Coturnix japonica: one gene and its partner. The protein of the gene in region 2 purifies or fractionates together with the protein of the main gene of each other region. This does not show direct contact. Links are inferred from orthologs where the notes say so. Each region holds a gene or a part of one and is shown on either strand. Other genes may lie near its edges.

What was found. Proteins that work in one complex are often made in the same cells at the same time.
Region 1: the proteins of HDAC7 (region 2) and SFN purify together in Homo sapiens (affinity purification with mass spectrometry; 3 studies listed by BioGRID and IntAct, with this or other methods). This does not show direct contact. The link is inferred for Coturnix japonica from reciprocal best matches to the Homo sapiens genes HDAC7 and SFN.

What each region holds. Positions count from the first base shown.
Region 1 is NC_029538.1:1,604,674-1,609,152, reverse strand, and holds SFN (14-3-3 protein sigma), read right to left. Parts: upstream 2,552-4,479; 5' UTR 2,399-2,551; coding exon 1,658-2,398; 3' UTR 1,159-1,657; downstream 1-1,158. UniProt on the Homo sapiens protein: Adapter protein implicated in the regulation of a large spectrum of both general and specialized signaling pathways. Binds to a large number of partners, usually by recognition of a phosphoserine or phosphothreonine motif.
Region 2 is NC_029544.1:425,019-430,228, reverse strand, and holds the start of HDAC7 (histone deacetylase 7), read right to left. Parts: upstream 3,121-5,210; 5' UTR 2,489-3,120; coding exon 2,386-2,488; intron 1-2,385. UniProt on the Homo sapiens protein: Responsible for the deacetylation of lysine residues on the N-terminal part of the core histones (H2A, H2B, H3 and H4).

The DNA.
Region 1 (4,479 bases), on a different chromosome or scaffold from region 2:
CGGCTCTGCCACGGGATGTGGGGCTGGGAGAGCAGGTTCTGCTCCGCTCATCCTCCCACAGCCAGAGCATTCCCACGGCCCCATCCTCCCCACCGCAGGGTCGTGCCTCAGTTTCCCCATACCCAACACTGGACCGTGCCAAAGCACAGCTCAGCACTATGTCCCCAATGTCCCCAAGTGAAGACCCCGTTGAACCGGCACACCCTGAGTCACTCGGCTTCCTCCTGCCACCCCATTTCCCATCAAAGCCGGGTCCTGCCCAGCACGGCCCAGCCCTGCTGCTCTCCATCTGATGAGCTCACGGCCCAGGCTGCCAGGACTGGATTTCAGTGTAATTAACTGTTCGTGTTGAAACTCGCGCTCCCAGAGCTGCACCCTTCGCTGTGGCTGAGAGCCAGGGCCAGAAGTGCTGAGCTTTCTCCAGCGCCGGCACATCCACACCTCCATGGGGATGTCCTCACCTCGGTGGGATGCTGTCACCTCCCCTGTGACAGCTCCGTGTCAGTGCTGGAGGGGAAGAGCTGAAACATCCCCCTGTCTGCACGGAGCCCCAGTAATGGGGTTTGGGACACTGTGGGTTGCGTGGTTTGGGTGGGGACACCATGGGGATGGAGATATCATGGAGGTGGGGACATCAAGATGGGGATGGGGACATTGTAGGGATGGGGACATCATAGGGATGGGAAGACCATAAGGGTGGAAACATAATGAGGATAGGGACACTATGAGGATGGGGACACTATGGAATGGGGACACCATGGGGATGGAAACCCTACGGGGATGGAAATACTATGGGGGTGGGGACACCATAGGAACATCTTGGGGATGAGGACAGTACAAGAATGGGAAAACCAAAGGGATGGAGACACCATGGGAATGGGGACATACAATTGCAGGGCTGGAGACCTGGGACATACTCTCCCTATGGAAAACCCACCTAGAAAGCCCATTCTGAGACCCGTCCCTGAGGTCTGGGGCTGGCTGAGTACCCCCACACCCCATGGCGGGGCTGGGAGGGGCTGCAGGCAGCCAGACCTGCACTTTGGAGGCCCCGAGTGCTCCCCAGCATGGCGTGGCACGCAATGGGACCGGCTGTGGGAGCTGCAGGAGCTGCCTGGGCTTGTGCACGACAGGAGAGATGAGGCGACCACAGAGGCAGACGTGCACGAGATGGTTTATTGGAGCCACACAGAGGCTTCGGCAATTCGCAATCCTCCATCCGGGTGGGGGGCACATCAACCCCCCCCCTCCCCTTTCTCCCCATCCCGTCCCATCACCTCCTCCCATTGCCCCCAAGGGACCAGCGGCACGGCTCTAGCCCCCCAAGACAGAGGGCTAGGGCCCCCCCTAAGCTACGCTGGGGTATCCCCCAAACAAAGTGTTAAAGGGGTGAGGGGAGCATGACAAGAACATGGGGGGGGGGAGAAGGAAAGGGGAGGCCCTGCCAAAGGGCAAACATATGGACCCCACTCCCAGAACTGGAGGGGGGGTAAGGGTGGGGGGGCGAAATACCTTCCCCACTCCTTAAAAAAGGAACAAAACAAAAGGAAAAGACACCGAAGGGCTTCGGGAAGGGGAAGGGGAAAGGGGGGGGAGTCTGGGAGGGAGGGGAGGAGGAAGGAGGTGGGGGATGGACCCCAGCTGCATTGGGGGCCGTTCAGTTCTTGGGCTCTTCGCCAGCCTCGCCGCCGTCTTCACCCGCGCACTCGGCTGTCCATAGCGTCAGGTTGTCCCTGAGCAGCTGCATGATGAGGGTGCTGTCCTTGTAGGAGTCTTCGCTGAGCGTGTGCAGGTCCCCCATGGCCTCGTCGAAGGTGGTCTTGGCCAGCGAGATGGCCTGCTCGGGGGCGTTGGCGATCTCGTAGTGGAAGACGGAGAAGTTGAGGGCCAGCCCCAGGCGGATGGGGTTCGTGGGCTGCATCTCCTTTTTGCTGATGTCCATGGCCTCTTGGTACGCCTTCTGGGCGCTGTCGATCGTCTCCTTGCGGTCGTTGCCGGAGGCCACCTCAGCCAGGTATCGGTAATAGTCTCCCTTCATCTTCAGGTAGAACACTTTGCTCTCTGCATCTCCGGCCTTCTTGATGAGGTGCTTCTCCAGCAAGCCCAGCACCACGTTGCAGACGCCCTTCAGCTCCTCTTCCACCTTCTCCCTGTATTCATTCACCAGCTGCGCTTTGTCGTCTCCCTCCTCGGTTTTGTGCTCGATGCTGGAGATGACCCTCCACGCCGAGCGCTGGCAGCCCACCACGTTCTTATAGGCGACGGAGAGGAGGTTGCGCTCCTCGTTGGACAGCTCGTCTCCATGCTCCACCACCGCCTTCATGAAGTCCGCCATGTCCTCATAGCGCTCAGCCTGCTCGGCCAGCTTGGCTTTCTGCACTTGGTGGTTTCTTGCCATGGCTGAGGGCGGATGAGGAGCAGGATGAGACGAGGAGTGGGGCCGGGAGCCGTCGGAGCCTCTGCTGAGCTTCACCGCCCCGATTCGCTTTTGGCTGAGCGTCGGAGCCCCGAGCAAGAGCAGGAGGAGCCAACGAGGCTGAAGGAGCGGCCTCCTCCTCCTCTGCTTCCTCCCCGCAGAGCCCGCCCTTAAAAAGCAAATTGCCGTGAGTCATCATGCCCCGAGGCACAGGGTGATGGGGAAGGGGTGAGCGGGTGGCACCCACCCTGCCCTGGATCAGGTGGGTGCCGGGAGGGAGAGGATGTGTTCAGGGAGTTCATGGTGAGCCCCCCCTGTGTCAATGGGATGTCCCACTGGATCAATGGAGAAGTCTGGATCAATGGGACATCCTATGTCAGTGGGAGACTCTGAAACAATGGAGGAGGGAAGATCAACTGGGGACCCCGGATCAATGGGAAACCCCAAATGAATGGGAGACCTAGAATCAGTGGGGACTCCAGATCAGTGGGGGAGCCTGAACCAGTGGGAGAGCCTGGATCAATGGGATACCCAGACCCACGGGAGACCTGGAATCAGTGGGATCCCGAAATCAATGGGAAACCCCAAATACTTGGAAGACTTGGGATCAGTCAATGGGATCCCCAGATCAATGGGGGACCCTGAGTTAATGGGGGAAACCGGATCAATGGGGGACCCCAAATAAATGGGAGACCAGGAATCAATGGAGATCCCAGATCAATGGGGGACCATGGACCAATGGGGGAACCCTTCCCCATCTGCCAGGAGTGCTCAGAACAGGGAGCAGTGGGGTCGTCACATTGGGGTGAAGCAGGAAAGCGGCAGCACCCAGTGCCCCCATCCCAACCACCCTTAGAGAAACAGCACGGGGAATAAACCTGGCTGTAAAAATGGTCTCCTCCCCAAAAATCCCATCGCTGTCATTTTTATATGATGATTAACTTGTCGGTGATTGCAAGGGCTTGAAGGGCTGGTATTTATTCCCACTGGTGGGGAAATCGAGGCAGGAGGAGCAGCACGTTACCCCAGCACTGCTGCAGGGATCAGGGCCAGGATTGGGATTGGGGCATTCCCAACTCCTCCACCCTGCCTGCTCAGGGGGAATTGCCCTGGCACTTGCAAGTACTCAACCCCAACCCCCCCATTGAACCATCATTGGACATCCCCAAACCCAAGGCAGCTCCACACCCACAAACCCCACTGGATCCCCATTAAGGCTTCTCCACCACCCATCCCCATGTCCCCCACCCTCTCCGCTCATCCCACCGGGGCTCTTTTCTCTCCCTTTACGCTGTACTGGAAGAATTGGGATTATTATTCCTTCTTTTTTGTCAGTCTCATTTTGATTCGAGTTCTGCCCAGCAGCGCTGGCGGCCCCGATTAGGATCTGAGCTCGGCGTTGCGCTGCAGTTTCGCTCTCAGCCTGTTCCCACACGCCGGCACAGGGCAGGGTGCGGCGGGCAGCACGTGGGGATGGAGCCAAGGGCTTCACCAGCGCTGTGCCAGCACCCTCAGCCCCATCCCTGACATCCTCTCCCCATTGGGGTTGCTCAGGGCTGGCAGCTCTTGGTCCCAAGCTTATGCGGTCCCAGTCCCCATCCAGCCACATGGTGGGGGCTGTTGAGTTTGGGGCTCAAAGTGGACCCCCCGTGAGCACTGCTCGACCTCATGGATGCACAGGGGCTGTGGTTTTGAACAGAATGCACTTCTGCCCCCTACCCCATAGGAGAGACCACAAATGGGGCTGTGTATGGGGGCAGGTCCCCCCCAGGGCACAGCATGGAGCTCGTGGGTTTGGGTGCTGCCAGAAGCACCGAGCTGCTGCCAAATGTTGGTGGCAAAGAGCTGAGCAGGAGCTGCAGAAATATTCTGCTCTACTGGTTTTGGTGTGAGTTAAGGGGGGGTGAAGGAAGAGCCCCAGCTCTGTGCCCTGCTGGGGAGGGGTCAATGGCCACCCACCACCCTCAGAGCACCCATGAACTCACACAGCTGCAGTGAGGGATGTGGGATGGAGCCCAGCACCACACGGACAGACAGGAAATGGGAAAATCTTTATTTTGTTA
Region 2 (5,210 bases):
GCTTCACAACAACAAATCCAGCGGGGACTTTTATCCCAATCTACCTAATGGCTAAAAAATTAGTTATAGGCAGAAAAGCCAAACCCACTTTGAGCGCACGCTTGCTTTAAGGAGGCAGAACAACTGAGACCTGGTCTGTCATACTAGAAAAGCAGGTTCCAGCACAGCTCTGTAAGGGCTGTACAAACCCTGTTTGCTTTGCTTCGTGCCATGAGCCCCAGCCATCAATGCCCATCTCTGGGAGGCCCAAGGAATCATTGACACTACAGAAGCCCATGGCCCTGAACACACACTGCTGGGGCTCCAAGCAAAGCTCTGTGCAACCTACAGTCTTCCAGTGGAGAGTCAGTGTGCTAACAAGCCTTTGTGCACTTGTGCCCTGATTGCAATTCCTTAATTCTTCCTGCCACGTCGACAGCAAGGTTTACCACTGCTGCCACAAAGCAGAGGGCAGTTCATGTTCCCAGCATTGCAGTGAGGAAACGTTTTGTCCCATTGCACAGCAAAACCTTGCAGCATCTGCAGGGAGCCTGCAGGCACTACAGCATGTGTTCAGTGAAGATTTGCTCAGAGGAGTTTGCATTATGTGGTCACATATCTGAGCCTGTTGGTTCATCCTACCCGCTCCTCAACAGCTCCGGTGCTGTAAGCAAGGCCCTGTGTGACAGTTAAGGCAGAGAAGAAAGTGAGCTGAGCCTAATCTGGGCTGCCAGAAGAGAGAGACAGCAGGAGGAGGGGAAGGGGAACGGGCATCATCCCCTCCATCTCAGCAAAACACCAACTCCACTGTAAATCCCCACCTTAGAACCAGAGCAAAACTTCTGAGGCACGAGCCTAGGGCTTATCTGCTGCTCCCTCCCTACTCCCACATTTCTGTTATCAAACCAACGCCACTTATCTTACAAATCCTGCCTCTTAAACCAGCAAAGCCACGTCGGTTCCTGCAGTGCTGAGGCTTGGCTGTGCTCCTCAGCTTCAGCACAGAGCCCCAGAAACACCAGCAGTCCCCATGGCACCTTGTGTCTGTTCAACTGCATCCATATGTGGGTCCCACCATCGTGCTCGGCAGCCACTGACCCCCTTCCCCACAGGTTAAATCACTTCAAGCATCCTACAGGCTGAATTTATTTAGGAGCCCATAACAAAAGTTTGAAGGAAAGGGAGTTAGTCCGGAGCTGTGCTTCATAACCAAGCGTGGGATAAAGCTCAAAGGAACATAGCAGAATTCACCATGTCAAAGCTCAGCAGCACAAACCCATTAAGCACTGACCACTGGAGGAGAAGTGCCTCAATGAGGAGCCTCTGTGCCCTGCAGGCTCCTGCAGCAGTCACACAGCTGTCCCGGCTTTGAGACAGATAAGGCTCAAATGATTCATTCACTCTAAACCTTTATTTGTTCTTGCTTACCCAGAAAGAGCCAGCAGCTGCTAATGCTAAACTGGGACAGCTCCCAAGCTCAGACAAAGGCCTGCAAAAACAGGTTTAAGGAGGAACTGATTGTTCAAAAAAAGCAATCCTAGAAGAGGGAGTTAGAAAGAAGGAGTGCAGCGCTGTGCAGGAGGAAGAGGAAGCCAGAAAGCACCTAAAAATACATCTTAAAAGAAGCAACCAAGCACAGGACAAGGGCCTCGCCTGCACGTGACCATCACCCACAGCACAGGCAGGATGTGAGCTTGGTACACAACACTCACTCCCCAGCAACCCTGCATAGAGTGCTTAGCAAAAGTCACAGCCACCATCTTCTGCCCCAGGAAAGCTCAGTTCTGCCATGCCACAAACGTTCTGGGTGTGGAATGCTGGCCCATTTGTGCTCTGATCACTCTATGCAATGTGCCAGATCCACCCCAGTTGGGAACCCATCAAAACCCAGCAGAGATGGCATCGAGCAGCTTCAACAAGTTGAAGGAATTTAAAGGAAGTCTGGAAAGCAAGATCAATCCCGAGATGCGCTCTAAAGAAACAGATAAGCCCTGCTAAAGGACTAACACAGGGTCGGTCCTTTGGGCTACGTACCCATCTGGGTAACACCTTCAGATGTGATCAGTTTCCTGTGAAACAGCTAGAAATGGCAAAGCAGGAGAGCTGAGTCTCTCCTCCTCCTGCTGCTACGGCTGGGGCTGCCACTGCCTGCTCCTCTCTTGCAACTGCAAGGCTGCAGAAAGCTCTGATGGGCTGAGAATGGAGCACGGGTAAGCAAATCAGCAAAGAACTTGACCTGCTCCTGCATGGACCCAGTGGGGTCAGAGCTTCAGCTCTGCTCCATGCAGGCAACACTCAGTGTGATGAGAAGGATGCTCCCAAATACCTTCAGCCAACCCACCCCAGTCAGGAGTCAACACTGTTCAAGGAAGGAAAACCCCCCCAAGGGATATGAGAGGCACTTACAGGACGGGCTGAACATCACCAGAGCCGCAGACAGAGTCAGAGCTGTGCCCTGAGGCTGAGAACATCCAGCTAGTTCCGCTCCTGGGAAGCCACCGCTCCGCATCCCACATTCACTTCTGCTTCACTCCTGCTGTGCACGTATCTGGTCATCGGGGCAGCACCGAGACGCAGTAAGATAAGCCTGCTTGAAGATGGGCCAGATGCAAAAGGGCACTTAATGAACTCTCGTGCACTGAGTCATCCCGTCTGCAGAGCCGTCTGCCTCCTCCGGAGCACACACCAACGTCGGCAACTCTTATTTCATGCTCACGTAGGTGTGGAACCCTTTGAGCACATCAAGCTGAGGCTGCTGCTGGGTAGGGCTGTGCCCGAGCCGTCCCTTCAAAGCTGCCATGAAACGCAAACAAAACTTCTGCATGGCACAAGTTTTGCTATTCTTTACCCTTCGGTCCTTGAACTCATGACTACTGAGTAAGGCGGCTTGCTCAGCTAACCAGCAGGCTAAGAATAGAGACCTTGAAGTGAAACCTACAGGGATTGGCAGCTATTTTGAGAGCTCTCAGCCGGCGGGGCGGCGTGACATAAGAGGATATAAAGAGGAAACTGCACGACAACTCTCACCTCACCAAGAAAGATTTGGTTAAGTGAAGGTAGAGCCTCCATGAGCGCTTTTGAGGCAAAATAAACACAGAGATGAGCCCCCGAGGCCACCTCTACATCAACGTGGGATCCCAAACCAGGCCTGGCAGCTCCGTGATGCACCCCCAGGAGCAGCTCAGCCCCTTCTCTGTGCTTCCAAACCCCCTGCAGAGCCTCACAGCTCTCCAGCAAAGCACACGCATAAGAAGGGAGGGCTGCAATCGTGCCCGGTCACCAGATGTGTTTTGAGAAAGATCTGGTCTCAGTTAGCAGCCAGCATTAAGATTAATGTAAGGAAATTTAAATGGCAATACTCGGAGCGTATTTGATTTCAAGCCTTAGATACTTGGAAAACAAACATACAAGCTATGGGTTCTGGAAATCAAGGCTGCCACCTGAAACCAGTCCCTGCAGCAAGCTCCCAGCACATCCACCTCTCGGCACATGCAAAGCAGAGGTTCCGAGCATCAGAACATGCTGAGAATGGTGGTTTTCTCCTGGTTTTTTGGACAGGATGAAGCTGCAAGCAGGGACTCCCAACTGACCAGCTTCAACTTCTATAAAGACATCCACTAAAACCTGCACGGGGCACTGGGAGAACAGCACACCTCCAGCAGCTGCTTCTTACCCTCCTCCTGCCTTACCACCAGCCTCTCTGCAGCGGATCTTCTCACCCTGTAGCCACCAGCAGATAATACTGGAAAGTTTGGGGCCTCTTAAGTGTTGCTTAAGGCAGCTAGAGCTGGAAAATAGCAACGCAGGAAAGAGGAGACTCTTCTCAGTAGTCGTACCCCCGGGCTATGCACAGAAACATCCTCTGAAGCCTCAGCGCATCAAACTGCCAGCGAACCTGCAGGATTTACATAAGCCTTGAAGTTTTGGATAAGAATCGAGGAAGAAATTCAGGAGGCAATCCTGCATCGAGCTCTTTGGGAAATGACGTTCTCCACATTTTCTGTGCCGCCCAAGGCTTCGCTCTTACGCAACAGCAGCTTTTGAAAAGGCAGCATCAGCATCAACACAGCCTTCTCCCCCCATTGCGTAAGAGATTCCCCTTCCGTGAAGGCTTGGTTTTGAGGCATTACTTTTGGATAGCGACCAGGAAGGCTTTTTTGATCCTAAGTGATCCAGTAAATGCACTGAGCACCTGGGAGAGCCATCAGCAAGCAGTGCCACAAGCTGACAGCCCGAGCTGTGCACCACCCAGCCATACACCCCACTCCCAGGTTGGCACCAGAGGATGCTCCAGGCTAAAGCACTTCTCCACCATGATCACAGTCCCTCTTGGAGGCCAGTCCAAGGTCCTCGCTGCTCTCAGCCCTGTCCCAGCTCCCACACCTCCCTCCCCTTGTACCCTATATTGAGCACCCATAGTCCCAGCCCAGCACACACTGTCGTGCAGATTGCAGGGAGAGCATAACCACTTTGCTTCATGCTGGTGGGAGCACCGAAGCATGCTGTGCAGCCCTGGGAAGAGCTAACCCTCCCTCTGCTGTGTGCTGATGTAAATAGTCCATGGGATGGAGCTTGTGGTTGTGATAAGGTGCAAGAAGCCAGGTAGCCACTGGAAAGATGCATTGAGCACAGCACCATCCACTGCATGTAGCTTTGAGCATGGTGGACTGAAATTCAAAGAGCAGGGAGGGCAAGCAGGTATGTGTGATGGATGTGTTAATGCATCCAAGTGTCACACAGAGCTGCTGCCCCACTCCAGCCCATCCTTGGGACCAGGAGCACCATTGCTCCTAAACATCCTCCCATATTACCCAACAGGGACCACAGTGACAGGGACATACGTACTGACTGCCACCTCAAACCTTGCAGGCAGGTTCCTGTACATCACCACCTCCAGCCCTGCTCTGCCCAGGGCTGATGTGCTTCAGTACAGATCCTTCCTCCAAGGTGAGCCTAGAAAACTTCCAAAGTCAGCCCAGCAAGCACTTGGGCTACATTTACTATTTATAGTTTGATGAGTGGGATGAAGCCACCCAAGCATGCCAGCTTCACTTGCTCTGGCTAAACTCAAGCAGCACTGACTGAATCCTGCACAGCACACAGAGGCTCAGAGCTGCCCAAGTGCAGCACAGGCTCATTCAGTGTTAGCAACAGCCGCTATATCTGGAAGACTGTTTCAAGGGAGAGCTGGAGCTCTGCAAGGCAGAGAAAGAAAACAAATCCTTCACATA